4 linked regions of the Struthio camelus genome follow. The protein of the gene in region 1 purifies or fractionates together with the protein of each later gene. This does not show direct contact. Links are inferred from orthologs where the notes say so. Each region holds a gene or a part of one and is shown in the gene's direction. Other genes may lie near its edges.

Evidence for each region.
Region 2: the proteins of PPP1CA (region 1) and RUVBL1 purify together in Homo sapiens (affinity purification with mass spectrometry; 4 studies listed by BioGRID and IntAct, counting the BioPlex papers as one, with this or other methods). This does not show direct contact. The link is inferred for Struthio camelus from reciprocal best matches to the Homo sapiens genes PPP1CA and RUVBL1.
Region 3: the proteins of PPP1CA (region 1) and PDRG1 purify together in Homo sapiens (affinity purification with mass spectrometry; 4 studies listed by BioGRID and IntAct, counting the BioPlex papers as one, with this or other methods). This does not show direct contact. The link is inferred for Struthio camelus from reciprocal best matches to the Homo sapiens genes PPP1CA and PDRG1.
Region 4: the proteins of PPP1CA (region 1) and PPP1R3D purify together in Homo sapiens (affinity purification with mass spectrometry; 3 studies listed by BioGRID and IntAct, counting the BioPlex papers as one, with this or other methods). This does not show direct contact. The link is inferred for Struthio camelus from reciprocal best matches to the Homo sapiens genes PPP1CA and PPP1R3D.

Annotation. Positions count from the first base shown.
Region 1 is NC_090946.1:3,707,778-3,714,820, reverse strand, and holds the start of PPP1CA (serine/threonine-protein phosphatase PP1-alpha catalytic subunit), read left to right. Parts: upstream 1-4,037; 5' UTR 4,038-4,101; coding exon 4,102-4,156; intron 4,157-5,930; coding exon 5,931-6,062; intron 6,063-6,278; coding exon 6,279-6,509; intron 6,510-6,983; coding exon 6,984-7,043. UniProt on the Homo sapiens protein: Protein phosphatase that associates with over 200 regulatory proteins to form highly specific holoenzymes which dephosphorylate hundreds of biological targets.
Region 2 is NC_090955.1:7,416,967-7,424,759, forward strand, and holds the start of RUVBL1 (ruvB-like 1), read left to right. Parts: upstream 1-4,781; 5' UTR 4,782-4,882; coding exon 4,883-5,023; intron 5,024-5,731; coding exon 5,732-5,818; intron 5,819-6,443; coding exon 6,444-6,576; intron 6,577-7,793. UniProt on the Homo sapiens protein: Possesses single-stranded DNA-stimulated ATPase and ATP-dependent DNA helicase (3' to 5') activity; hexamerization is thought to be critical for ATP hydrolysis and adjacent subunits in the ring-like structure contribute to the ATPase activity.
Region 3 is NC_090959.1:18,591,677-18,599,013, reverse strand, and holds PDRG1 (p53 and DNA damage-regulated protein 1), read left to right. Parts: upstream 1-4,482; 5' UTR 4,483-4,559; coding exon 4,560-4,643; intron 4,644-5,266; coding exon 5,267-5,342; intron 5,343-5,504; coding exon 5,505-5,579; intron 5,580-5,957; coding exon 5,958-6,038; intron 6,039-6,382; coding exon 6,383-6,465; 3' UTR 6,466-6,832; downstream 6,833-7,337. UniProt on the Homo sapiens protein: May play a role in chaperone-mediated protein folding.
Region 4 is NC_090959.1:14,321,113-14,328,357, reverse strand, and holds the start of PPP1R3D (protein phosphatase 1 regulatory subunit 3D), read left to right. Parts: upstream 1-4,237; 5' UTR 4,238-5,102; coding exon 5,103-6,026; 3' UTR 6,027-7,245. Other genes in the region: protein FAM217B, read right to left, coding at 1-39, 1,563-1,648, 1,753-1,861, 3,084-3,178. UniProt on the Homo sapiens protein: Seems to act as a glycogen-targeting subunit for PP1. PP1 is essential for cell division, and participates in the regulation of glycogen metabolism, muscle contractility and protein synthesis.

The DNA of each region.
Region 1 (7,043 bases):
GTGCGGGGGGGGCAGGGGGTAGTGGGGCAGTAGGGTGGGTGCAAGGGGGCAGGGGGCAGGAGGCAGTAGGGTGGGAGCAGGGTGCAGGGGGGCAGTGGGGTAGGTGCAAGAGGTGCAGGGGGTGCGGGAGTCAGTGGGGCAATGGGGTGGGTGCAGGGGACAGAGGGGTGGGTGCAGGGGGTGCGGGGAGCAGGAGGGCAGGGGATGAGAGCAGGGGGGCAGTGGGGTGGGAGCGGGGTGGGCAGGGTGCGGGGGTCAGTGGGGTGGGTGCAGGGGGTGCGGGGAGCAGGGGGGCAGAGGGGTGGGTGGGGGGGGCAGAGGGTGTAGGGAGCAGTGGGGTGGGTGCAGGTGGTGGGTGCAGGGGATGCAGGGGGCAGTGGGGTGGGTGCAGGGGGTGGGTGCGGGGGGGCAGGGTGCGGGGGTCAGTGGGGTGGGTGCAGGTGGTGGGTGCGGGGAGCAGGGGGGTGGGTGCAGGGGGTGCGGGGAGCAGGGGGTCAGTGGGGTGGGTGCAGGGGGTGGGTGCGGGGACTGGCGCAGCGCAGAGCAGCCTGGCCCCCCCCGGCCCCCCCGGGCCCGGCCGGGGCTGGGGACGGCCGGCGCCGGGTCGCCTGGGGACAGCCGACAACCCGACACCAGGCGGCGGGGAAATGTCAGCGCCGCGGCCGGGAGCTATTCTGGACGGCGCGGCGCGGCGCCCGCGGGGACTCTCGGCTGGCTCGTACGGGGCTGGGCTCCGGCCCCGGGGCGACGCGGGCGGCGGCCCGGGCTCTCGGACGCCTGGGTCCTTCTCCCAGCTGCCGGGGGGTCAGCCCGGGAGGGGCCCGCTTTGGCGCCCAGAGCTCTCGGCGCTGCCGGCGCCCGGCCGTCCTCGCTGCCTGTTTGCCTGGGCGCCCTCACCTCGGGGACTAATTAGCCCTTGCAATTAGCAGCGGGGCACGGGGGGCTGCAGCTGTCCCCCGAATGCGGTGGGGGGCAAAGGGCACTCAGCCCCCCCCTCCGCTCCCCCGTGCCACCCCTGCCCCGCTGCCACGGCCTCGGTGTGCCACGGGGGACCCAGGTGTCCGGGCACCCCCCAGGGAGGCGGGGGTGGCAACAGCGTCACAGCAACAGCCGTCACCGTCAGCAACAGCAGGCACCGGGGGAGCACCCGGTGCACCGCTCTGGGCTGGGCTGGGTGCCCGGGGTGGGCTGGGGGGCGGCGCGTGGGGCCAGGGCAGGGTGGCACAAAGGGGCTCTGTGCCCCCACACCGCCGCCGAACGGCAGCCGCTTGTGCCGCCCCCGGGGAGCTGCTGCGGGCGGGCACCAGGCGGGCCCCCGGACACCCTACAGCCAGGCAGAGGTGTCGTCAGGACGGGGTGCCCAGCCTGCACCCCTGTGTCCCGCTGCGGGCCAGCCCTGTGCCCCCTCCCTGGCCGTGCCCCACACAGCACCACCGCAGCCACCACACAGCCTGAATGGGGCACATCTAGGGGGCTCTGGAAACTGCCAAGGGACAGCTGGGGGAGCCCAGAAACTGCTAAGAAACAGCTGGGGGGGCCTGGAAACCACCAAGGGACAGCTGTGGGGGGTTGGAGACTGCCAAGGGACATTTGGGAGGCCCTGGAAAGGACCTGGAGACAGTGGGGGGGGAGCTGGAAGCTGCCAAGGGACATTTGGGGGGCCCTGGAAACCACCAAGGGACAGCAGCAGGAAGGCTCTGGGCCTTACCCCTCCCTGCAGGCTCCGCCCCCTGTGGGGGTTGGCCCTGCCCTCCCCATGGCTCCTCCCAAATGCCCCACCTTGCCCATGGGCACTGCCCTCTCTCCCAGCCCTGCAAGGTCCACTCTCCTCCGAAGCGCCACAGGCTCTCTCCCGCTTCTCTACCCCGGGGCCAAGCTGTGCCACCCGGTCACAGGTGCCACCCAGCCCATCTCCACCCTGTGGACACCTCCCAGCCCATCCCCCCTCCCCCCCCCCCCGTGGGCATCTCCCAGCTGGTGCCCACCCCATGGACACCTCCAAGCCCATCCCGACCTCATGAGCATCTCCCAGCCCATCCCCACCCCGGGGGCATCTCCCAGCTGGTGCCCACCCCGTGGGCACCTCCCAGCCCATCTCCACCCCATGGACCTCCCCCAGCCTGTGCCTAGCCTGTGTGCTAGTGTGTACCCAGCGCCAGGGTGGCAGGGGCAGCCCAAGTGGGAGAGGATGGGGCTGGGTGGTCGGGGGACAGACAGCTGGACAGATGGACAGAGGGTTGGTGGGACGGACGGCTGGGCAAGGACAGACAGACATGGGATGGGCCACCGGGTAGCGAGCAGGACGGTGGCAGGGGCAGAGAGCAGACAGTGCCCATCCGACAGGGTGGATGGATGGATGGACAGACGGACGGGGTGCAGGTGCACGGGCAGGGCTGGGGCGCAGCGCTTTCACCTTGGGGTTGCTGGGCCACGCCAGTGCCAGCGCCCATGTCCTGTGCCACGGGTGGTGCCACATGTGGTGCTGGCCCCGGTGCCCTGCGCTGCCCTGCCCTTCCCGGGCCCTGCCAGCCTCTGTCCTCCACGGTCTCCAGCCCCTCAGCGAGCCGGGGACATCGAGGGGACACAGAGCGAGCTGGGGACACCACGTCCAGCAGTGGGTGCGGGCACGGCAGCGACGGGCCGTGGGCAGAGTTAAGGGTAGGTGGCCCGTCGCTGCGGGAAAAGGCAGCTCCTCCCTGGGGCGCCCCGCGGGCCCTCCCGAAACATGGCCACGACTGCCGCCTGCCAGGTCCCTCGCCCTTCTGCCTCGGGGGGGGGGGGGGGGCGGTGTAGATTCTCTGATGTCTTATATAAGGGTTGGGGCCTCCCCCACGTGGGGGCAATGCCTGCATGAGCCCACTCCCACGAGCAGCCAAACCCTTTGGCGTCTGTCCCTCAGGAGGGTCCCATGGGTCTGCCCCACGCAGGACCCCCAGCCCCAGGGGGTTCATCCCCCACGTGCACCCCCACCTCCTGGCTCCTGCCCTGCAACAGCCCCCTCCCGCTGGGGGCCCCCTGCTCCCAGGGCCCCGTGTCCCTGTGCTGTGGGCTGCCCCCGTCCTCATGTCCCCATGATGGGGGGGTGCACCATGTCCCCATGTCCTCATGTCCCTGTGTCCCATGTCCCTATATTCCATGTCCCCGTGTCCCCCATCCCCATGTCCCTGTGCCCCCATGTCCCCTGTCCCAGTGTCCCATGTCCCAGCATCCCTGTGTCCCCATCCTCTGTCCCTGTGTCCCCATCCCCATGTCCCCTGTCCCCGTCCCCATGTCCCATGTCCTGTGTACCCATGTCCCATGTCTCCCTGTCCCTGTGTTCCCCTGTACCCATTTCCCCTTGTCCCCTGTCCCCATCCCCCATCCCCTGTCCCCTGTCCCATGTCCTCATGCCCCAGTGTCCCATGTACCCCTGTCCCCGTGTCCCTATGTCCCCATGTCCCCCTGTCCCCCATCCCCCATCCCCTGTCCCGTGTCCCTATGCCCCAGTGTCCCATGTCCCCATGTCCCCCATCCCCATGTCCCCTGTCCCGTGTCCCCCTATCCTCTGTCCCCGTGTCCCTATGCCCCCTGTCCCCCGCCCCATCCCCTGTCCTCTGTCCCCATGCCCCAGTGTCCCCTCTCCCCCATCCCCATGTCCCCAAGTCCCCGTGTCCCATGTCCCCCGTGTCCCCTGTCCCCCCGACCCCATCCCCGTGTCCCATGTCCCCATCCCCTATTCCATGTCCCCATGCCCCTGTGTCCCAAGTCCCCCTGACCCCGTGTCCCCTGTCCCCCTGTCCCCCTGTCCCGTGTCCCCATGCCCCTGTGTCCCAAGTCCCCGTGTCCCCGTGTCCCGTGTCCCCCTGTCCCCCTGTCCCCTGTCCCCCCCGTCCCCCGTCCCCTGTCCCGTGTCCCCATGCCCCAGTGTCCCCCATCCCCCCATCCCCCGGTCCCCCGTCCCCTGCCGGCGGCGCGATGCCTCCAGGCCGCCAGGGGGCGCCGCCTCTGGCCGGCGGCCGCGCGCGCCCGGCGGGGGCGGGGCGGGGCGGGGCGGGGCGGAGCCGGGCCGGGCCGGGCGGCGCGCGCGCGTGGGGGCCCAGGCGTCCGGGGCGGCTGGCGGCCATGGCGGACACCGAGAAGCTCAACCTGGACTCCATCATCGGCCGCCTCCTGGAGGGTGAGCGCCGCGGCGGCGGCGGCGGCTCTGCCCCGGGCCCTCCGCGGCCCCGGCCCCGCCCGCCCCGGGGCCTCCCGCGGCCGCGGGCCCCCAACTGCCCCCGGGCCCCCATTAACTGCCCCCGGGCCCGCCCAACTGCCCCCACCGCCTCAGGGCCCCCCCCCCCGCCTCAGGGCCCCCCAAGTGCCCCGCCGCCCCCCAAACGCCTGTGGGCCCGCCCAGCTGCCTCAGAGCCCCCCCCACAGTCTCAGGGCCCCCCCAAATGCCCCGCCCCCCCCACTTCCTCAGGGCCTCCCCAGCTGCCCCGACCCCCCAACTGCCTCCGGCCCCCCCCTACTGCTTCCGGGGTCCCCAAGTTCCCTGGACTCCCCCCCACTTCCTCATGCCCTCCTCCACTGCCTCACCCCCCCCCCACGGGCTCCTCCCCCCCACACTTCCTCAGGGCCCCCCCAGCTGCCCTGGGGACCCCTCAACTGCCTCAAACACCCCCATTCCGGCTCCCCAACTTCCTCAGAGCCCCCCCCACTGCCCCAGGGACTCCCCCTGGACTTGCCTTAGGGCCACCCTGCTCCGTCCTGGGCCCCCACCCCCTAGCCCGTGTCGGGACTGGACTGGGGGGCAGTGCTGGGGACCCCAGGGGGGGTTTCCTAGGCCTGGTTTTGGTGAGGGAGAGAGTGTCAGGTCCGGGGTACTTGTTTAGAGGGGTTATTAGTCTGCAAGCCCTAGGGGGCAGTTGCTTGGTTGGGGGGCAATAGGTGGGGTCCCCAAGGCCCCATGCAGTACCAGTGCATTAGGTCCAGACCTTGAGCCTGGCTGGGGGTTGTGGGGATGGGTCTTGGGGGGCCTAGGGGCTGGGTATTGGGGGATTGGGAGGAACTGGGGGGTCTTGGAGCTGGGATTTGGGTTTGGGAGAGACTGGGAGTACTGAGGGGCTGGCTTTGGGGGATAGGAGGTCTTGGGCCTGGGGACTGCATGTTGGGGGAGATAGAGATGGGGATCTTGGGACTGGCTGTTGCGGGGCTGGAGATGGGGGGGCTGTGCAGAAGGTGAGGGTTAGATATTGGGCTAGGAGGCTTGGGAGGCAGCAGGGAGGTCTGGGGGGCTGTGGGGTTCAGGGGCTGTGCAGAGGTCTGGGGGTTAGGTTTGGGGGGCTATGGGGTTTGGAGGCTGTACGGAGGGTGCAAGGTGGATTTAGGGGGTGGCAGGGACTTCTGGAGTTGGATGTTGAGGTTGGGGCTCAGGGGAGTGAGGAGCTGACAGTGGGGCTGCTGGATTCGGGATAGGACCGGAGGCGGTGTGGAGGGGCTGTGGGTGGGGGCTGTGTTGGGAGTCAGGGGGGCCAGGTTGGTGGGCACCAGGAGGTCAGGCTGGAGATCAGCGAGGAGGAAGGGGTTTGGAGGCTCAGGGGGCGCAGGGGGGGCATGGGTGTGTTGCAGCCTCAGGGAGTCCCTGTGCCTCAGGCCCAGCAGGGTCACAGGCTGTGATGCCCTAGCACAACCCTGGCTCTGGCAGGAGAGGGGGGAGGGCTGATCCGTGCCCACCCTGGGGGCAGGCAGGGGCCGTCTCCTCCGTTGTCAGCCTGTGGGTGCTGCTTCTCTCATGTCCGTCTTGTCCAAGCGTGCTGTGTGGGTGCGCTCAGGGTGGCTGTCTCTGGCTGTATTGAGGTTGTGCCAGTGTCGCTGACACCGGTTTCTTCCCTAGTGCCAGTTCTGAGGGGCGTGGGGAGTCCTTACTGGGTGCCTGATGCCTGTCTCGCTCTCTCTTGCGGTGCCAGTCCAGGGGTCACGGCCAGGGAAGAATGTGCAGCTGACGGAGAACGAGATCCGAGGGCTGTGCCTTAAATCACGGGAGATCTTCCTCAGCCAGCCCATCCTGCTGGAGCTGGAGGCGCCCCTCAAGATCTGTGGTGAGCGCTAGCTGGGCAGCGCGCCGGCCGGGCACCCTGGCATGCGGCTGGGAGAGCCCCTGAGGGACGCTGCGGGGGGAGGTTTGGGATGCCGTGGCAAGCTGGGAGTCCCAGTGACACCCCTGTGCTCCCCAGGGGACGTGCATGGGCAATACTAGGGCCAGCTGCAGGGTGCCTTGGGGGGCTATGGGTCGCATTGACACCCCCTTCCCCCAGGGGACATCCACGGGCAGTACTATGACCTGCTGCGGCTCTTCGAGTACGGGGGCTTCCCCCCCGAGAGCAACTACTTGTTCCTGGGGGACTATGTGGACCGAGGCAAGCAGTCGCTGGAGACCATCTGCCTCCTGCTTGCGTACAAGATCAAGTACCCCGAGAACTTCTTCCTGCTGCGTGGCAACCACGAGTGTGCCAGCATCAACCGCATCTACGGCTTCTATGATGAGTGTGAGTGCTTCTGCCAGAGCCGTGTCGCTCGTGCCATCCCTGTGTGCCCCAGCATCAGCCGCATCTATGGCTCCTGTGACGGGCATGAGTGCTGGTGCCACCCTCATGCCCACGTACCACCCAGCATCAACCACGCTGACTGCTTCTCTGCCGAGGGGGAATGCCCTACGCCTGTCCCTGCACCCCCTTTGTACCCCTGTGCCAGCCACCCCTAGCAGAGGCCACAAAGGGCCGTGTGCCCCAGGACACCCCCTGCATGAGCCAGTGCCAGCCCATGTCGTTGGCCCCTGCAGTCACAGCTGTGCCTAGGGCCCACAGGCACCCATGCAGCTCTGGATGTATCACCTGGCACGTGTGCCCACCCAACCAGCCCTGTGGCTGTGCCGAGGGCAGCGCCAGGCCGGGGGCAGCCCCGGACACCCCCTTGTTCCCCTGGGTGGCAGCGCGAGGCAGCCATGCCCACCTGCCTTGCAGGCAAGCGGCGGTACAACATCAAGCTCTGGAAGACCTTCACCGACTGTTTCAACTGCTTGC
Region 2 (7,793 bases), on another chromosome or scaffold:
GCCAATGGGTTGAGCTAGCCTGGTTAATCGGTTTCTTTAGCAGAATAGTGCAGCCTGATGGGAGTTCTGCCATGGGAGCTGAATTAAGCATAATGTCACTTTTCAAACCAAGTTCCCAGGCTTTGAGCAGCTTCCTGTTAAATCATCAGGCTTCATAGCTCATGAACACTTCACTGCCCTGCATGTCTCAATCTGTTATATCAATACATACTTGCAAAGTTAAGGGAAAGTATACATTTACTCCCTTAAGAAAAGGCCTTACACAGTTATAATTCACAGAGATATTACTATATCATACTACATACCATTCATATAAGAAACATACTGTCTAATTCTTTTTAGCATTAATTATTAGATTTTTCTGAACTCATCTAACACAAAAGGTCAAAAAAGGTAACATACCAGTCCAATTCTTAAGCAAAAGAGGCTTATGCATTATCCATCAGTCCTCCCAGCACAGCTGAAATACTGGCCATCTTCAAACAAACTCTAACAAACGATAGCGGTCTTACAGATAAGTTTCTACATCTCTTGTGAAAACTGGCAACCGTGTAAAGGCAAGGCCCAGTTCAATGGCCCACACAGCGTAAAAGACTACAGCACGAGCTCAGGTGTCACCCATTTTGCTTGGGCTGCCAGCTTACTAGTGAAACAGAGCAAGAGCTGTTCTTTGCCCAGACAACCAGAGGGATACAGGACAGAATTCATGTGCAAAAAACAGAATTGTTTTTGTTAAGGGTATGTAAGGAAGGAAGACAAATCCATGGGAAAGTCTATTTAATTCCACTGCTCACAAAATCAGTTGCATTTATTTAATAGCCTTATACTCTTAGCAGTGACCTGCAAGAAGGAGGGCTGTAAGGTGGGAACATGCGTTTGTTCTCATTTTTCTCCCTTTAGATACAGGAGAGACTTGTAACTCTCTAGATAAGGCAATTGTCCTTGGGTGGAAGGGAATTTACTTTTAAACAGCTTGCACTTTAATGGAAAAAACATAAGTTTGCTACTGTACCCACAACTTTGTTGGTACCACTCAAAACATACCTCTGTCAAGGAATCTGCAGTCTCTGGATCTGATTTTGCAAAGTATTATCTGAAGGCAGAGCTCTTTGCAAGATCAAGGTCTACACAGTACCTGTAAAATTAATACACTCATGTCACCAATAGCAAGGAGGAGAAGCTTGATAGAGACATGAGCACTTTTATGTGTTCAGACAGCTTCATTCTGTTCACTTAGTTTTAGAATTAGTTACAGATTTAGGAGTTAACAGAGAGCGTTTGTTAAGATTCATCACTCCTCCTTCTTTGATGAAGAGTAGAAAAAGCTTTCAGCTCCTTTTGTGGAGCAGGGAAGGAAATGACACACAGATCTTGATATTACTAAGATGCAGAGAGGAACAAGGCAAAAATTAAAGAATCTCAAGTCCTCTATTTCTCTGCATCTGTCACAAAGCAACGCGTTTATAGCATTTAGCTGTTTTCCTTGTTTTCTCTTCAATGTACCATTCCCCTTCCCAGTTCTTCTCTCTCCTATACTGAATTTCTTCCTTAAAAGTGTTCATTTTAATTGCTAACGTTTTTAAGGACTCAGGGGAGAAAGGGCAGGAAGTCAGACTTTTGGGATAGGGTAAAAATGTAAAGGTCATTCACACACTCACACACACATACTCTCTCTCACTCTAAAAATAATACACTATTTGACAGTTTCAGGATTCAGCATGTCCCATTGAAATTTGAAAGCTTATGTGAAACTAGGCCATGTCCTGTAACCTCAAACATTTAGTCTAGGAAAACAGCTCTCAAGTCTCCAGCTCCCACATCGGGTATCACATGACGTCTGTGCCAAATAAGAGACCTCAAACGGTTTGGCGGGGGGGGGGGGGGGGGGGGCCGGGAAATGTTGGTAAAATGAGTTGATTAAACCTGGGGAATAGTAGTTCAGACTGTTAGCGAAAGGTATTATTTTTCTGGTTAACTGGATAGTGAAATATTAAATTATGCTCAAAGCATCTATAACAGCATATGAGATGGACAGAATGGTCTCACAACCTACTTATGTTCCGTTTGTTGGCATGGACAAAGGAGAAAGATGACTCATGCCTTTCAACAAAATAATTTTACCCTCCCCTGCTCTAATAAGTATGTTAGCTATTCGAGATCACAAAAGTCACATTAGGCCGCAGTTCACTATTTCTCAAGCTGATGCATCATAACTACACATTAGACATCAACTTTAATAGACCATTTAAGCTATTTAAGTTCCACTCTAAGCTTTCCAGTAGTTCCACTTGTACTCTGCTCTTTCTGAGGAATAAACAATTAATCCTGTGTGGTCTAAAGGACTATTGTTTATTTTCCCTCACCTAAAGGTACTCCTTTCTGCCCTTTAACTGCATTTTCAGTATGGTGCTCAAAGAACATATGGAATGAGTAAAATAATCAATACAATAAAATGTGCCAAACCAATCATAGCTTATGGATGAGAGAAAGTCTCTTAAATTGATACCAACTCAGGCAAGTAAGAGGGAGAAACCAGCCTCACTTCTGCCAAACAAACAATTGTTTACTGTTTTTTTTTTTAATTGAAATATCAGCTTTTACTGCAAATGCAAACCCAAACCATTTTCATAACAATCTCTGCAGTCAGTACTAAAATTGTGCCTTCAACACGGCACTAGTTTTATTTACTGAACAGAGGTGGTCACTAGCAGCCTGACTGTTAGGCTCTATTCCAATTCTATTTTGGAAACATTATGTTGTTAGACAAACATTTAACACTTCTGTTTTTCAGTTTCCTCTCATGCTAAATGGCTACACTACTGATCTTTATCAAATACTCTGTAAACTGCATTAGTATTTCTAGAGTTCAAGATTCTTCTGCAGCATATCTGGTCTTTACACAAATGGAATATTTCTCTTCTTCCTCTAAATTATAACGATAGTTAACAGCAATTCTCTGTCCTTGCCCTCTACATTTTTATACTCAGAAATCCATCACAGAGAAACAAGGAAATGTTACCAAGTAAACTCTGGAACACCGTAGTCTCAGAAATGGCCTAACTGCAACTTCAAACAAGATAATGACTTAGACTGAAATCTGTCCATACACTCCATTTGAACTAATGGCTATGTATTTCACCCGCTACCAGCCCTTCTTTTTTAAAAGGAGGGCCATGCGTAGCAGAAGTCTTAGAGAATTTGCTATTTTTTTTTCCTAGAATCAGCAAAAACTTGAACTCTGACCGGACTTACCCACAACACTTGCAGCAGTTCAATGCACTAGAGAAATCAAAGCTGTTTATTTGCTCTTATACAAAAGAGAATTTGCAGTTTAGTATATTAGGCATTTGTATTCTGTGACTGATATAGCCCCAAAAGGATGTAAAGAGCCCAATAGTATACATACTTTTTTAATTACTTAAAGGATAGCTTATATTTATTAGGTTCAAGAGGAATTCTTAGCTAAACAGTCACAGAAGATGATACTCTTACAAACGTGTTGAACTATGCCATATGTGTGCAATTATATTCTAATTGCAATTTAAGCTAGATTATGTAAATATAAATTGATAGAACAAGTTATCAAAAAAAGAAAGCAGCAAATAACTTTTTTTCTTTTTTAAATGAATAACAACTAATGGAGGCCCCTAGACAAAAAGAAGATGACTAAAAGTGTTCACCAGGCTTTTGTAAACTCAAATACAACACCCATCGCCTCTAGAAGCCACTCTCATAGCTCATACTATCACCCAGCTGCTTTGGCAGTTCGCCCTGGCAGGCCACAGAGGAGCTGAACGGGCATTATCCCGTGGCACACCAGACAGCAACCCAGCATCTTATCGCACTCACCCGCTAACCTTGAACACTACAAGCACAGCCGCTGCTTTACAATCAAGTGCACAAACTACAACAAATTCACTGGAAGAGAATCTCCTTTTTTGGGACAGCAATCCCAACATTTACAAACGGGGATGATAAACACTAGTAAATTGCTGGAATAGCAGCTTCCGAGGTCCTGTCTCAGATTTCACAGTCAGACATGTCCATCTCAGGCATTTGAACCCTAAACAGCAGAGGCAGCAGTTACTGCTAGACCACTATCACTTGAGCAGTAGGGTATACAAGTATAAAAGCTGTAGCCTTGCACAGCTAAGGAAACAAGGGTAAACTCTGCAGCTACCTGTTGAGAAAATGAAGTATTTTTCCCTCCACTTCAGGAGATCATAAAGCCCAGAAAGAGGGCATTTTTGGTCTAGGCACAGCACACGCGAGCTGTATGAAAGCCAAGCTAAAACCACAGCTGCTTAAAGAAATGCTTTGGATATGCAGAAAAACATAACTATTTCTCAGTTAGGTGGAGAACCAGAACTCAGCACAAGACTCCCAGCAGACAAACACCGAGCAAGCCCTCCTCGAGGGGGCGGCCCGCTCTCGCAGCTAGGCCTGGCGCTGGCTTCGGGAAGGCCTCGCTCCCCTCGCCCGCCTGCCCCGTGGCCGGCCACAGGACCCTGCAGAGCCCCAGGCTGGTTAAGCGAAGGGGAAGGTGACTGCCGAGCAAAGAAAAGCTGAATTTCCCCTCCAGGCGTCACGGTACCCGCCCAGTCCCTCCACCGGCCCTGCCTGGCCCCGGCCCGGCTCCTCCGCGGTGCCCGCACCCGGCCGGACCCTCCCGAAGCGCCGCGCGCGGAAGCGGGTAGACGGACTCTAAAAGAAAAGCACCCGCCCGGGGTGACAAGCAGGCGCCGCGCCCAATAAGCATCGGGAGCGGCGGGGCGGGGGCCAATGGGGCGGCGGGGCGGGCCGAGGCGGCCGCGCGCCGGGAGCCTTGGTAACGCGCGGGCCGCGTGCGGGGAGTGCGGCGCGGAGCGGAGCGGCCCCCGCCATGAAGATCGAGGAGGTGAAGAGCACCTCGAAGACGCAGCGCATCGCCGCCCACAGCCACGTCAAGGGGCTGGGGCTGGACGAGAGCGGCACGGCCAAGCCGGCGGGCGCCGGGCTCGTGGGACAGGAGAACGCGCGGGAGGTGAGCGGCGGCGCGGCCTGCCCGGCCCGGCCCGGCCCGCTCGGGACGGCGGTCTGTGCGCGCCGGGTGCCCCTCTTCCCCTTCGTCCCGCTCCCTTCGGCGAGCGAGGCTCGACCCGGCCTCCTCCGCTTACTCCGCTGCTGCCTGGGAAGCGGCGCGGGCAGCCCTGGGCTGCTCCTTGTGCCGCTACTCTTGTATCACCCGGCGCCGCGGGCAGGTGACAGCGTCCCGGGTTTTAGGCGTAGAAATTGAGGTATGGAAAGCAGGAAAGCCCGCCTAAAGTCAGCGATTTGGTGCAGCTAGGGACCGGCGCTTCAGTTGCAGTCTGACGGCTGGCCCCGGGCCGGCGCTTTAGCCATTCTGTCTTTCTGAAAGTCACAGAGCCGTTTCTTGCTTCATTCTTAAACCTTAGTGTGTGTGTGTAGTCCTGGGAGGGACCGGGGGATCCTGGGACTGACGGAAGTCTGTGCTTCTACATCTGGGTTTTGTTGCTTGTGACTTTTTTCTCAATCTCTTCAGCAAATAAAATGATTGCAAGAAGTAGGTCTCCCTGATCTTGCTTCACTTTTATATGCTTAAAACTGAAGTCTTCTTTAATTTTAGTGGGTTCTCAAAGCCTAATATCTCTAAGTACTTTAAATAACACTGGAACGAAAGATACTATAGCAATGCGTTTCATAACAGTTTAAATGTTTACTTAATTTATAGGCATGTGGGGTTATAGTGGAATTAATCAAAAGCAAGAAAATGGCTGGAAGAGCTGTGCTGTTGGCAGGACCTCCTGGAACTGGCAAGGTATTATTTTTCTTTTGATATGGAGTAAAGTATCCCCAAATTATTTTAGGTCAATCTGTTGTCAAAACCATTGTAGGGCAGTAGTTGCAGGAGGTTTCCATCTACTGGAGGTTTTTTCATGATTGTATTGCCATGGTTTCTTGCTTTATGTTTTGATTTTTGCCATGGCTTCAACAGTAGCGGTATGCAGTGGTTTGTTCAGGCATCATTAGCGTGAAACTATCTTATATAGATTAACCAAACACATATGTAACGTGCATTCTGAAGAAAAGTCTTAGAAGTTAATTTAGTATTAGAGGCCTTAAAAGTTTTTGCTTTGTTTTGTTTTTCTCTTGTTATTTAACGCTTATTGCCTTTTGTACCAGATGTCAAATTCAAATGCCTGGTATTGTTTCTTTAAAGTGTTGTGCAAGTCCTAGATAAAAGCTACTTTATGTGTGTTGAATTTGTTTGGTGTGGGGTGGTAGTTATATGTGAGAAGTCTGTAAGTCAGACAGAACAGGAGTAGTATTAAAGTGATGGTTTGGATGAAATAGGATATGATGAGTGAAGTTGGTGCTGTGGAGAAAGAATCCTTTGTTCTCATGAAAAATGAAGTGCGTAATTTTTTTCCTTTCTTTTGAAGACTGCTTTAGCTTTAGCTATTGCTCAGGAACTGGGAAGTAAAGTTCCCTTTTGTCCTATGGTTGGAAGTGAGGTCTATTCCACTGAGATCAAGAAAACAGAAGTCCTAATGGAAAACTTCCGGAGGGCAATTGGTAAGTTTCAGAAAAAATAGAAGAATTAAGTATTTATATGATTTGTGACCCTGCTTGAGCAGGGGGGTTGGACTAGATCATCTTCAGAGGTACCTTCCAACTTCAGCCATTCTGTGATTCTGGTTTTGTTTTTGCCCCGTAATCTAAAAAGGAAAAGCTTCTAAGTGGCCTTGGTGGCTGTCAGATCACAGCCTGTTCTTCTTTTCAGTGCTCATCTTAACTGGGTGAACGTCTTCCACCCTTAATGGAGACGGTAGGGTTTTCTGCATATAAGACATAATTTAGTCATCATATCCCACAGTTATTTTGGTTCATTCTTCTTCCCCAGACTCACTTCTCAACTTCCAGATTCATCTCCTGGTTTTGTCTGTGGCTCTCAAAAAAGCTGAAAGAAAAGCTATTTTAGTTTTTTTATGTTAACAGAAATATTGGTAGACGGCAAAGTGCTCTCTCCTTTTTTCTTTAATGATTTCACCGTAGTAAGCAAACAGTCTTAAGCAGGGACTCCCAAATGGCAACGTTCAGCCTAACTTATTATTTCGGATGAGCACAAAGTGAGTTCCATGCCAGCGAAATAAATGCCTTAACCTAATATCTTCCTCAGCTCTAGAGGAAGACACAAGGCTTTTACAAGCTTGATATAGGTTGGTTAAATTTGCAACACAGCCCACTGAGTATCTACAATCTTTTATATGATTGCTGCTGACAGCTGATAAATGCAGTTAGAAGTGGACCTTGTTTATGAGGATTGCCTAAAGATAGCCTAGTTGACTTTAGTACTGAACGTATTAACAGTTAATTTTCTTGGCTTCTGTATCATTATTCCCCTCAGACTTCATCTAAGTATTTCATAGCAGTAAGGTGAAGAAATCTCTCAGTGGTGCAACCAAACAAAACTATTCCGTTGACTTTCATAAGAAAGCAATTTTCAGTAATCTCTGGTCTTCTAGTCACCATAAATCTGGCAGGGCTTGGGGGAGGGAAGCCAGACTCTAAGTAGTCTGCAGTGTTTCCTTGATGTGATGAAGTTCCCTGTCAGAGATTTTGAAACTTGAACCAACAGATGAAACTTATGCCATCTGTGTTGTCATTTCTAGAGATAGCAGTATTTTAAATCTGTCTAGTTAACAGCCAGCTACATTGTTAGTTCCCTGCATTCCCTGAATGTCAGTAGAGAGAAAATTCTAAACAAATATTGGTGTTAATGAAAGATCCAA
Region 3 (7,337 bases), on another chromosome or scaffold:
CGAGGGCAGGAAGGGAGGCCCCGCCGGGCCGAGCTGGCCCTGCCGGATCCGGTTCTCCCGCTGCGACCCGCAGGCCCTCGCCGGCTGAGCTCCGGAAGAGCCACCTAGCTGCAGAAAATGAAATCTGATCTCATTGCCTCTGCGCTTTTAATGCTCTTTATTACATACTGGGGGGAAAAAAAGGAAAGTAAAGGCAACCTGATGCTATTAATGAGCCCATCTGCCTGACATGGGCACATTGTTAGAAAGCAGCAAGAAAAAGCAAACACAAGTGCATGCTGCTGGGAGGGGAGGAGGACGGGAGGAGGGGGAAAGAGGGATTGTTTATGACAAAGCATAAATTATTCACATGCGCAGAGACATACGGAGGAGCAGAGGGCTTTCATCTGAGAGGCACCTCCGTGCCTGAGCAAGAGTGGGGCTGGGGGGGATCTGGGTGCAGATGCATCGTGCACGGCCCTTGCTCTGCCCAGCCCCCAGCCGGCAGTAGGTCCCACTCAGGATGCCGGTGCCCCGGGGCAGAGGTGCCGGTGCCCAGCGCCAGCTCTGCTGCAGGGGGATGCTCTGCCCTGCTGAGCCAGGAGTCTCCAAAGGGCTGGAGATGTATCTGAAAATCTCAGCACCTTGAAGGCCAAGGGGACCTCAAACCATTGTCCAGGCCAAATCCTTGAACCGGGGTCCACTGCTGGTCCCGGGCCACCGCGGCTGCTGCCCGCAGCTGGCACTTCCCTCCCTGCTTACGGCCACTCACTACCTGTTACTGAGATGCTGGTGAGGTTTGTTTCCCAGAGTCCTTCCAGGCCTGCAGGCAAAGCCACCCGCTTCGATACACAGCGCCACTCAGCAGCTCAGTCTAGACCAACTCGATTTGCAATGGGATAACTGAAATCCCATGGACACAGATTTATCTTTTCCACCACTGCCATTAAAAGTAACTAACTGCTATGTCTGGCTGCAAGGTGGATCCACAGTCTGACAGCAGCCTGGCAGAGGTTAAAGAGAGACACCTTTCCCTTCAGACTTGTCTGTTCTCCACCCGAAGCGCAGGGAAACGGCGGCTGCTGCCAACCAGGTTCCCGCAAGGTCTCTGCTGCTTCGGTCCTGGTGTTCAGAGTTAACCGTGGGGAGCGCCATGGGCAAAGCAATCTCGACTGGGACAGCTTGTACTTAATTTATTGCCAATTAACACAAACTTCTAATCATTAATTTGGGTATTGAGAAAAAAGGAAACATAAACAATTAAACAAACACATAGGGAAACCCCTTTCCTCCCCCTCAGATTAAGCCCGTCACCTCTCTTCCCCCCTTCCTGGCCTCGGCTTGCCTTGTTTTCGCTGGGGTTGCACTCGGTCCATCCCAGGTGCTCCGGCGAGGCGAGGGCGGCGCGCGAGACTGCAGCTGTGTGCGAAACGCTTCCGCCTGCCGCTCCTCCGTGCCTCCGGCTGGCTTGCCCCCGCTCCAGGCTCCTCAGTGCGCCTGCCGTGGCACAGGGCGCTGTCTGTGGCCCGCTGGCCTCAGGGCTGTCCCGCGCCGGCGTGGTGCTAACCGGCTGCTCACGTGTGAGCTGGCTGGATGCACAGGCGTAAATTAATTGGGTGCTCATGCAGGAACTAAATACGTTTGTTCACGCACAAACGTATTGGGTGTGCGTGTGTAAATTAATTGGGTGCTCACGGGTGATGGCAGCAAACCCTGCGATTGATGCCAGCGCAGGAGAGGGGGACACGGGCAGTGTCACGTGCTGCTGTGACATCGGCCGCTGCTGTAGGTCACTCTGGGGCACTCGCAATCCCTCACACGCTGTCAAGGACGAAACGGCCATCAGAAAATGTGATTCCACTTTTCACCTCCTCCACCAAACCCATCACACTCATGCCAGATTAATTCCATACACACTTTCTCGCGATTAAGCCTTTCTTCTGCACGCCAAGTGTCACTAATTACAACCCTATAGCTTATCTAGTTTTCAAACCCCAACGGGACGTTACCTCTTTACCCCGAGGCAATCCATTTTGTTTTGACAGCATCTTGTTAAGAACCTCGCCAAAAGCTCTTGGAAATCCAAGTGAATGAGCTGTGACCCTTTCCCTCATCCCGGGAGGGATGCAAGCACTGCAGAGCTCCGCGTTTGGCTGCAACGTGGCATGAGACGAGGTTGCTGCCAGCGGCTGCGGCAGGCTGAGCTCCTGCGGGCGCCCGCCGGCCCCGGCCGTGCCTGGCCTTGCTCCCGTTCGCCGGTGCGTCCCCCAGCTGCTGGGAGACGTGGCCCTGCTCGAGGGAATTCAAACGCGGTGACATCACCTAACTGCACAAATAAAGTACTCTTGCACAAGTGCATTCAAACACGAGCCAAATTCCACACTGTTTCCTGTGACAAAGCCCTTTCCCGCCAGCGACCCCGAGCCGGGCGCCGGAGCTGCGCGATGCCGCGTGACCCCGAGCGCTTCCGTGGGGGAAATCGCTTCTCAGGGCGAAGCAACAACCGCCCGGAGACCCGGCAGAGCACAGCCCGGCGAAGCCCGGGCCCTCGCCTTTCCTGCCTGTGTGCAGTATGATGCCTCTCATCAACGAGAGCTCCTCTTTAATTACGCTAATGGAGTTTACTCACCGCCACAAGACCTCCCCGGCTCCTCAGCTGCCACCGCCGCGGCAAACAGGCCACCGAGGGGAGACGGCCAGCGAGGGCGGCAGGCGGGCGCTGCGCCCCGAGGGCTGACGCGAGGCGCCGGTGCCGGTGCTGTGACCCCTCTCGGGCCCGGTGCCCGGCCTCCCCCCTCCAAAAGGCTCAAAGCCACCACCAGCCCCGGCTCCTGCCAGCAGCTCTTGGGCCTGGCAGCGCAGACATGGCTGTGCCCAATGGGACGGGGATGGGGACAGGGACAGGGAGGGGGATGGGGATGAGGATAGGGATAGGGACAGGGATGGGGACAGGAAAAGGGGGAAAGGGACAGGGATGGGATAGGGATAGAGATAGGAAGGGGATGGAGATGGGGATGGGGATGAGGTCGGGGATGGGGATGAGGATGGGGATGAGGACAGGGATGGGGATGGGGATGGGATAGGGATAGGGATGGAGACAGGAAAGGGGACAGGGATGGGATGGGGATAGAGATGGGAAGGGGATGGGGACAAGGACAGGGATGGGGACGGGATGGGGACAGGGATGGGGACAGGGACAGGGATGGGGACAGGGATGGGATGGGGACAGGGATGGGGACAGGGATGGGGACGGGGATGGGGATGGGGATGGGATGGGGACAGGAAAGGGGACAGGGATGGGATGGGGATAGAGATGGGAAGGGGAAGGGGATGGAGATGGGGACAAGGACAGGGATGGGGATGGGGATGGGATGGGGATGGGGACAGGGACGGGATGGGGACAGGAAAGGGGACAGGGATGGGGATGGGGATGGGGACAAGGACAGAGATGGGGACGGGGATGGGGATGGGGATGGGATGGGGATGGGGACGGGATGGGGACAGGAAAGGGGACAGGGATGGGATGGGGATAGAAATGAGAAGGGGATGGGGATGGGGATGGGGACAAGGACAGGGATGGGGATAGGGATGGGGACAGGGATGGGGACAGGGATGGGATGGGGATGGGGACAGGGATGGGGATGGGGACAAGGACAGGGATGGGGACAGGGATGGGGATGGGGATGGGATGGGGACAGGAAAGGGGACAGGGATGGGATGGGGGTAGAGATGGGGATGGGGACAAGGACAGGGATGGGGACGGGATGGGGACGGGATGGGGACAGGGATGGGGATGGGGACAAGGACAGGGATGGGGCTGGGAAGGGGATGGGGATGGGGACAAGGACAGGGATGGGGACGGGATGGGGACAAGGACAGGGATGGGGATGGGGACAAGGACAGGGATGGGGACGGGAAGGGGATGGGAATGGGGACAAGGACAGGGATGGGGACGGGATGGGGATGGGGACGGGAATGGGGATGGGGACAGGGATGGGGACGGTTACAAGGACAGGGATGGGGACAAGGACAGGGATGGGGACGGGATGGGGATGGGGACAGGGATGGGGACAGGAAAGGGGACAGGGATGGGATGGGGATAGAGATGGGGATGGGGACAAGGACAGGGATGGGGACGGGATGGGGACAGGGATGGGGACAGGGATGGGATGGGGACGGGATGGGGATGGGGACAAGGACAGGGATGGGGACGGGATGGGGACGGGGACGGGGACAGGGATGGGATGGGGACGGGATGGGGACATGGATGGGGATGGGGACAAGGACAGGGATGGGGACCGGATGGGGATGGGGACGGGGATGGGGACAGGTTGGGGACAGGCATGGCGACAGGGACGGCCGCCCCGGCGGCGCAGCCAGGCGCTGCCGGCTGCAGTGCGCTGGAGCGAGCCGGGCCGGGCCGGGCCGGGCCCCGCAGCGTCCCGCTGCCCCCGGTGCCGGTGCCGGTGCCGGCCGCGGGGCGGCGCCTCTCGCCCCGGAACCTGCGTGCGCGGCCGCGGCTGCCGCCCGGCGGGGAGCGCGGCGGACCGGGCCCGGCCCGGCCTCGCCCCGGGGCCGCCATGGCGCGGGACCCGGCCTTCGTGCTGCGCTACCTGGCCGAGGTGGAGGAGCTGGCCGAGGACGTGCTGGCGGCGCGGCAGCAGGTGCGCTACCGCCCCCCCGGCCCCGCCGGCGCCCCCCCGGCCCCCTGCGGCCCCTCCCGCCGCCTCCCGGCCCCTTCCGCGCCCCCCCGCCCCCCCCAGGCCCCTTCCGCGCCCCCCCCGGTGCTCCCCCCCGGCCCCTCGCGGTGCCCCCCTGCGGCCCCCCAGACCCTTCTGGGCCCCTCCGCCCCCCCTAGCCCCCCGGCTTCTCCTGGTGCCCTCTGTGGCCGCATCGCACCTTCCTGGTGCCCCCCGGCTCCTGCTGGTGCGCCCCGATCCCCCCCCCCGCCTCCTCCTGGTGCCCCCTGCATCCCTCCCGGACCCTTCCAGGCCCCCCCAGCTCCTCCTGCTTCCCCCTGTGGCCCCCCCGTCTCCTTGGGCCACGGCCCCTGCAGCCCTCACCCGCTCAGCCCCGCTAACCTTCCAGCCCCCATCCGCCTCCGGGTCCCCTCGTCCAGCCCCCGGTCACCCCTTCGGTCACCCCTTGCACCCTCTGGGAACCCCTGCGTTCCCCCATCCGTCCCGCAGTCGCCCCTTCCGCCCCCCGCAGCTGCGCCGGTGACCCCCGTTCTCGCAGCGGCTCCCCCGGGGTGACCCCCGCTGCAGCCGTACCGTTCCCGCTGCAGATCGTGGACCTGGACGTGAAGCGGAACCGGAACCGCGAGGCGCTGCGGGCTCTGCACAAGGACCCCGACCCGGACGGTGAGGCCCGGGGTGCCCCGGTGTGCCGTTACCTCGAGCCAGGCCGCCCCACGCCCGGCCCTGGTACCAGGCCTGCATGAGCCTACTTGTGCAAAGGAATAGTTTTATATTAGGAAGAAAAAAATTGGTGTCCACAAGGACCTTCTTTTTCCCCCTCCTCAGATAAAGCAATGGTCTGCTTTGGAAACATGTTCATTGAGCTGCCAAAATCAAAGACTAAGGAGATGATGCAGAAAGGTAAGACAGACTTCTGGAGTGTCCTTTTTTGTACGTTCAAGCTTCTGTCTAGTCCTGGGCTTTGAAGCACACAAAACCTTCTGACTGTAGTTAAAAATAGAGATTCTTGGCATTCCTCGTGTTCTGCTGTCCTGGACAGAGCATCGCAGGGAGGCACGTTTTGGTAGAAAGTGAACTTTTTCTATAGGCTGCAGAGAACATGCAACAAGCCTGCGTGCTCGAGGTTGCAAGGAGAATGAAGCTCACAAGCATCCTCTCCTGTCACCCCATGCTCAGGCTTCGACCCTGAATATCTCCCAGCAGCAGCCAGGAGTTGGGGTAGCTCTGTGTTCATCCACAGAACTCCACAGCTCCTTACCGCTCTCTCCCTTCTCTCAGATCAGGAGCACTTGGATGAGGAAATAAACAAGCTTCGGAAAGAGCTGCGTGTGAAGGTCAACCGTCTCTTTGAAGCTCAAGGTAGATGCTCTTATTCTTGAACCTTCTCAGCGAACACCCAGGAGCAGATGTTACATGGCAGGAGGAGCTCCTGCGCTCTGTATGTTCCTAGAGCCCCCTTTTCCCTCGCTTTCCAATTCTGTTCCTGTTCAAGCAGCGCTGTGGGACCATGCAGCTCTTGTTGCAAAGCTGTCATCCACTAGCAGACTAAACAGGCTTTCCAGCTACTCCAATGACTCTGTATCAACTTCCAGGGCTATCACTGTCTTCTCTAGAGTCCTTGCAGTGATGGCTACTTAACATCTTTTGTAGCTACTTAACTTATTTTGTAGCAAAACCCTGATTTTCTGCTTGCTTTCTCTCAGGTAAAGCTGAGCTGAAAGGATTTAATCTGAACCCCATGACTCCTGAGGAAATGAAACTAATCAATCGCATACTGGAGGGCTGAGATGGCAGTGGCATCACCATGACCATGGGCAAATAGTGTTGCTTATCAAGGCATTATTTAGGCTGTCACGTGTGGAATTCATACTGCTCTATCAGTGGCCAACCTCCAGGGTTTTCTTTAGGAGAACATCTGTATTCCTGGAACCTTTCTCAAGTGGTATTTACCTGGTAGGCTTGGGGAGGCATTTGGCTCCTCAAATAGAACGCTGCAATTTCTTTGGACTATAAACTGTTCCTGCTTCTTGCTGGATAAAGATTGGGCGCTGGAACTGTGCAGAGGAAAACGTTAGAACACAGGCTCATTCAAGGCATTTGACAAACTGCCATTGCTAGGGTGGAAGTGGGATTATTAAAATCTGAGAAACTAAGCATTCCTAATAGTGTGCATGTTCTGTTGTTGTTTTTTTCTTTTTTAACGTAATATCTTCTGTAAGTTAGCTTCAGAGCTAGTTCATTCTAGTGTCGGAACAGGAGTAGGAGGGAACGAACTGTGAATCCACAGTGTGTCCAAAGCATAAAGGAAGAGTTGTGTAAGCCTGTGGTATTAGAACAAAGTAAAACTATACATCAAAAACACTTCAGGAATCTTTTTTAAAAAAATGTGTGAAGAGGGATACAAGAGGGCAGCATCCTTCTAGTCTCCGTGGGAAAACATTTACTACTGTCAAGTTGGAAGGCAAGAGAACAGGGAAAACAAGGCTTTCAAAACTAGAAGAAAGGATAAAGTGTTAAAAAAAGAAAAAAAGACTGACATATCCTTGGCCTGTCTTGTAGTAAAAGGACAATTGATTTAACCAATAGTTGTTTCCTCAAAGGTTTTAAAATTTATCTTCTGTACTACCCTAATTAGTCTGAACTTGCTACCCCAACACA
Region 4 (7,245 bases), on another chromosome or scaffold:
CCTTGTACTCTGTGCAATGAGGTGCAAACGCTCATCGTTCTGAACAGGAAGAAAGAGCATATACAAGTAAAATGATTAATGTATTTGGAACAACAAGTTACAAAGGACTTGCTACTGTCTTACAAGAACTTGGATCTATGTGAATTAAGCTAAAATTGGCATGAAAACTTACTGATGAGGTAAGATTAATATTTGCTAGCAAAGAGAACACTGCCTGCTACCCTGTGTTGTGGTTTGACTTATTTGATATACATTGCAATGCTTGTTACACATAAAATAGAAATTCAGTCTAAAGACAGAGACCATGGCCAGAATTAATAGTTAGGACATAAGACAAAACAATCAAGCTTTCATGGTCAAATGGTATAAACTGATGCAACCCCCTTCACTTCACTCATTTATAGCAGTTGAGAATGTGACCCTCTCTGTAAGGAATGCTGAATAGTTTAAAAATAAAAACTTATTGCTGCTTATAGTTCCCAAATGAATACACATGTGCATCAATCACAAATTAAAAGGTAGCATTCACCCCAAAATATCCTGAGGTACAATACTAAATTCAAGATGTTATTTTGTCTTAAAAGAGGAAATGTAACAGCAAACGTCAGAAACAGTACCGCATAAACGGAGAGAACTGTGTGTGCCTGCATTCAAACAGAGAGGGACTAGCGGACAACTGAATAGGAAAAATTTTGTATGATGAGGAGTGCAAAAAGAGGTCATGAACAGCAATCTCTGTTTACAGAGACCTCACTGTGGAAAGAGTCAAGATTCAGCAGTAAAAACAATGTTAGTATGTTACCAAACTTAACTTATCCAAAATAGCTTCCATTTTTCTAGAGGACGCTAATTTCAGTAAATCTTTCTCACTTTCTCCTTAAAGTAGCAAGCTCCCAAAATAGAGTTCTAAGATTAAATTTAGGCTCGTAATATTTGCTTGTATCCACTCCATTCTGTTGCAAGGAATCTTGTATCTGGCAATATTATTCCCATTAACTTCTTCAACCCAACCATGAACGCTCTCTGATTTTTTTTATCCACTATTAAAACTCTACACGCCATAGTCATTTCATTTTTCAGTCTTTTCTCACTATTCGCATTCCCCTCCCAGTATCAGTTTTCTTCTCTCACACATTGGGTTATGTTTTCTGCCACAAGAGCTTGTTCTCGAATACTTTCTGCCACAAGAGCTTGTTCTCGAATACTTCTTAAATCCAAAACTCTCCTCATCTTCAAATGGATCTTTTAAAGGTATTTTCTCCATGAAAATTCCTATGTTGATTCTTAATTCTCAGGGACGCTATCATGAGTAATTATTTTTCTGATAATTTTTTTGTCTTATTTTATTCTGATTTTGCCTAGAAGCTCATTGAAGCAGTATAATAAGTTTCCATATTAATAACTTAAGTTTTTTTTTCCTCATAAATGCTGAATTGTGGGGCCAGTGAAGCCAAAGGTAAAATTCTTATAGAAATCAATGAACCCATGATTTCATCACAACCATTTTGCATACCAATTTGAAACGTCTACAAATAAAGCAGAGAACCTTAACATAAAATTACCTGCTTGGCTGAATGTGGTCACCCAGCTGGTTTCTTTCCTTGTAAAAAATACATGGTTGGTTATCGTCCTGAGTGTCATGGGAAGTCTGGAAAGATAGGAAAGTATGTGATGCTGCTACTGCGATCAAGAAAGCTGATATAAACTAAGTACTCTTTTTCTGTAAGGAAACAAGGAACTGGAATGATTTACCTTTTCAGTGGCATTTGATATATTTTTGCCTAATCTTCCAGAAGATCTCACATGAGAAATTTGTTTCTTTAGTCCTTTGGTACTCAGATGGCTTTTTCCACCGCTGTAACTAGCGAGGATTAAACAGAATACCATACACCAATAGTAACATATTTCATGGTCAGAACAGAAACATAGTAAAAGTTTACAGTGCAACTCAGTTTAAAAGAGAGAGCTGACGGCAACTATGCTTGGAGAGACTTAAAGTTCATGAGAACCATACTGTGGTCGCTTTTTATTTTTATACTACACAAAAGTGCAAAATTCCAATAGATAATATAATAAGAGAACTTGGCCCTTATAAAGACTATTCTGTCAGGGGAAACCAAAGTTATGTTGGGGATAATAAATAGTAAATATTAGAGATTATATACTTAACTATTAATTTATGTAGTACCTGTTACTTGTGGGCCTACTGCAGTTTAGCAGAAGTAATCTTTAAGTATGATATGAAGACCAGTACAAGCCAATTCCTGCCTGGCTATCTCATTTGCATAGTCTCAGTAAAATTTAAAGGAATTTTTCTATGAAGAAAATGAGCAAAGTGAACAGGTAGCATATAGTCTATTATAATATTAATAGAAACTATTTTGCAATAAAGGCACAAACAAAGTCAGTTTCACTATTCAACAAAAAATTCACTATTTTTTGTTGTTGGATCATGCAAAATATTGATAAGGAAAAGCTTCATACGGAAGTGAAAGGAATGACATTATTGATCTGGACAGCTTAAAACTAAATTACACAATATTTCCTTTCCTCTAATAGATCAGATACTTTTCTCTGTAAGCACAGCAGCAAACAAACAAAAAAAAAAAACCCACACTGAATCATTAAAACAGTGTATGCTGTAGGAGTCAAGAAAGTGGTGTTTGTTCTACAAACAAGAAATATTACTAATTTCAAGAAGGAAAGCTTTAAAACGTCATTTTAGAACAGAAATAAACAAGTTGTATCTCCCCAGCCTACTTTAGATTCACTGCAGTACAATTAATTTTGCCAGGCAGCACATATTCTTCATAGCTGTTATGTCAGTGTAGTTTGATTTCGCTTTAAAAAATAGTCATCACTTTAAGAGCTGATAAAATCATGCAAATAAGCCTTGTGCCTTCAGCACTGACGCAGTCGTCTCTGTCGCTGGGACCTGCAAGATCAAACAGCGCAACCGCTTGCGTTGCTGTGGATCAGAGAGGAGGATGAGAATCTGAACAGTACACAGTCATGCATTTATTAACTAATTTACAGTACTTAGAGAAATCTCTAATTATAAAGAGAGAAGGTAATTTCCTTACTTTACCGTTCCTTTGTGGTTTTCATTGATTTGGCTTTCCTTTTCCGGTGTCCCGCTGCGCAGTAATAAAGGATGTTCCTGAATGCCTGGTCCCATTGTTCCTCTCTTTGAAGAGTGTCTGCGCCTTTATTTTTACATAACCTTCAAAGGACTCCAGTGTTTCGGGTTGATGAGACACAGCGCATCAAACGCAGGCATCACCACGTCCTAGAGATGCAGTAAACAAACACCATGCCATTCCTCCCAATGTGATTATTATTTTTTTTTAAAGCAGTAACATAATCAGCTCCCAAACAGTCCTGGAAAACACTCTCCCTTGCCCCAGCGCTGTGCTTACTTCACGGCAGTCGGCATACGGTTCACAAGCCCGTCCCTGAGAGGATGCTTGGGCAAGGTACGGGGAGGCGGGGGGAGCATGAGAAGGTACAGCAGCATTGCATGAGCTACTTTTCGTTTCCTGGCGTGCTCCTCATCGTGTTGCCCTTGCACCACGCCGCGCGTAGGACCGGAGCCAAGCACCGCAGCCAAGCGGCGGGCGGGCGGGCGGGCGGGCGGGCGCCGCTGCGCTGCGCTGCCCTGCGCTGCGCTGCGCTGCGCTGCGCTGCGCTGCCCTGCGCTGCCCTGCGCTGCGCTGCCCTGCGCTGCGCCTGCCTCCCGGGCGCGCCGCGCCGGCTCGTCCTTCCCGCGGCAGGAAACGCGCTCTTGGTACCGTCCGATATGCAAGTTCTCTATCGAATGCTTAATTTTCTTCTTCTTGTTCCAAAACAAATCTCCCAGGACCCTTAAATTCGTACTAAAAATACTACCAGCAGAACATGCAGTATTTTTTTTTATCTTCTAAAAACAGCATTCCCAAGGGCGCATGATTTCCAAAGGGTAGCAGACAATTAGCACCAAATTACCTCTGCTCACCCACCCTTGGTCTTGCTGCAGGGCGTTAATAACGAGCTATATCCGTGTATTTTTTCGCTGTCTTCCCCCCCGCGCCCCGGTCCCGCCAGCACCTGCCCGGTACCTGCCTCCGCCAGCAGCTAAGGGCAAGTCGACTGCGGCGACGTCGCTCTGGCTAATGCGCACGCGCCGAGTGACGACGCATGCGCACCGCGGACGGCTGATGGTTTCCTCTTGATTAGTTGCCCGGGGGGGGGGGGACGCGCATGCGCTGCTGGCGAGGGCGGCGGCGGCGGTCTGTCCGCGGAGGGGCGAGCGGTGCCGGTTGCCGCGGGCTGTGGGGCCGCGGTCGGCTGCCGGCTGCGCAGCGCCCTGCCCTGCCCTGCCGCCAGCTGATGTGGGCTGCCGAGTCCCCGAGCGCGGCTCCCTCCCCGCCCGGCCACAGTACCGACTCTGCCTGCGCGGCCCCGCCCGACAGCCTCCTCACGCCCTCCAGCCGCCGCAGCAGCCTCGGCTCCGGCTCCTCCGTCCCGCCCGACAGCCTCCCGGCCTTTCCCAGCCTGGCCGGTAGCCGCGAGTCGCCCAGCCTCCAGTGTGACAGCCTCGAGTGTCCCTGCTGCCACTGCGGCAGCCTGGCGTCGACGAGCGCCTGCGAGGACAGCCTGCAGCCCCGCTCCGGGGCGCTTCAGGGGCACCGCCGGGCCCCCAGCAGCCTCTGGGACAGCCTGGAGTCCGCCGGCGCCCCGCACGACAGCCTCCAGTCGGTCTCCAGCCTGCAGGAGAGCTTCAGGTCCTCCAGCAGCAGGTGTGATAGTCTTGAATCCCTTTCCAGCCTGTGTAGCAGCTCCTCCAGCCAGCGTAACAGCCTCGAGGTCACCAGCCGGTGAGGCGGCCCTCAGCTTTCCCCTCCGATGCACGAGCCTCCGGTTCGCTGCCAGCTGCTGCGAGAGCTTCCAGGTTTCTGCCCTTCACTGCGGAAGGCTTCGTTGCTCCAGTGAATTCCTGCAGCAACCAGCAGAACAACCCCAAATACCCTCCTGCTCTGGCTGTCGTTCCCAAGTTACGTGCTTCAGAGAGGCAGTACTCAGTATCGGCAGCGTCAACCTCAGCTCTTTGTCATCGGTTAAGAATGGAGGTACGTGGTCCTCGGAGGAGTCCCAGCTACCTCTCCAATCTCTATCAGAACATGTTACAGGCTGAGGCAGAGCCGGGACGAGGGCAGCAGCGGCCCCAGGCAGTTCACACAAGTAGCAGCGTGAGTCTTCTGAGCAGTATCCCGGCCAAGGGGGGCTCGCAACCAAATCGGCCTCAGAGTAGCACTGCCACCAGCTGCGATCCAGCTTTACGGCCTATCATACGCCGCCGAGCGAGGTCTTTGCCTACATCACCTGAAAGAAGAAAGCGAGCAGGAGTGCAGTGCCGAGTTCCAGGATGCGAGGGTCGTACGAACAGGGTGAGATTTGCTGATGCTTTGGGCTTGGAGCTGACTGAAGTGAAAGTCTTCCAGACTGGAGAGGATCCGTCAATCCCCTTGCATGTCCTTTCCAGGCTCTCCATAAACTCAGACCTCTGGGGCAGTAGCTTGGACCTGGAGTTCACCATGCAGTGCTTGGTCCCTGACTTCCAGCAGCCTGCAGACTGTATGGATTTCTCTGCCCGACTTCAGGAGCAGCAGGTGTGTCTTGAACGAGTGACCAATTCAGATTTGGGGCTCAGTGGCACCATCCAAGTTTGTAATATTGCTTTTGAGAAGCAGGTATCTGTGCGATACACCTTCAACCAGTGGAAAAGCCTCCATGAAGTGTGTGCTCATTGGCATAGCAGCATCCCTGAGAAAAACGGGCAAGCTCAGGTTGATGTTTTCACTTTTTTTCTCCCTGTACCTCCTTTCCTCCTTCATCTGTGCTCTGTAGTCCAATTTGCAGCAAGATACAGAGTCAATGGGCAGGAATATTGGGATAACAACAGAGGCAACAACTACAGTTTTACCTGCCGGAATTACCCCCTTAAGATGCCTAGAGAATGTGAGGAGAGCTGGATCCACTTCATCTAAGCAAAAGAAATTGGATGTAGAGCAGCTTTTGAATAGCCTTATTCTCTTCCCTGGCATTGCTCTGTGCTCCTAGGGCAATACAAACCCTCTTTTTGAAACCTGCCAAACCTGGCAAAGTGTTTCAGAACAGGAAAGTAGCCAGTGATGTGTACAAACTGTTCTAAACCTCTCAGAAAGTATAAAGGGCCAAAATGTGTATCGCGTTACATCCGTTGAAAGCCCGCGTGATTTCTTGTGGTGTGTGAATCGGTGCAGAATGGTTCAAAGGGATGCTGTCAGACTAAATATCTGAAAGCGAAGAAAGGCACTTTTGTTGCTAATGGTATTCTGGACTGCATAAAATATTTATAACGAGTCTGTTTTACCATGTCTGGTTTTTTTTAAATGGACAGTGTGGCTTTACTGTTTTTATTTCTATTTTTGTTTATGTTATCTCACCAAGTCTGGGCACTATTCCAGCTTAGCAAAATTTGGATGGCAAGCACAGTAGGGAAGTATGTATTTTTACATAAGTATATTTGTTAACGTTTTAGCCACGTTAAGTGTTTCTATTAATATTTAGTTTGCAAAAGAAATTTAATTATGAGCTAAAACAACATGAAAATGTGCCAGCTGCTCCTCTGTTTCCCTTTTAAAAAAAAAAAAAAGTTTCTTAACCATGTGCCTTTTCTCATCTGCAATGTTTGCTATAGGGAGCAGGCGTGATTTAAGTGTAAATTAGGCTGACCATGGGGGAGTTCTCATCTTTTGGGGTGATGTACAAGTAGGTTTTTTTCTCCAGGGAAATGGAATTGGCCTTTCCTTGTGGAGCTATTTTTATTAAGGGAAACTAGAGCAATTTTGCACTTTTGTTGTGATCACACTTGAAGATCTCAAAGCACTACATAAAAGCTAATGATCTTACACCCATACTAGAAACGGATAAATTTAAAACTCAAGGCATGGGTATGAAAGACAAACTATAAAGGCAGTGCAGTGAGCTGGTCGCGGAGCCTTGGAATAGAACGCTAGAAGCCTGAATCCCCGCTCCCTTTTCCCTAGTGTCCCAGTACTATTGCAGTAGCACTTTTGAGTTCTCTAATCACCTACTACTGATTATAAACTAGTTCAAGACTGAACACAAAATGGGAAAATGATGATTTTACTGGTAAATTGGTTTTTACATGGATCCACAAACAGAATTCCTTTTGCAGCACTGAGAGCAGAGTAACACAGAAGA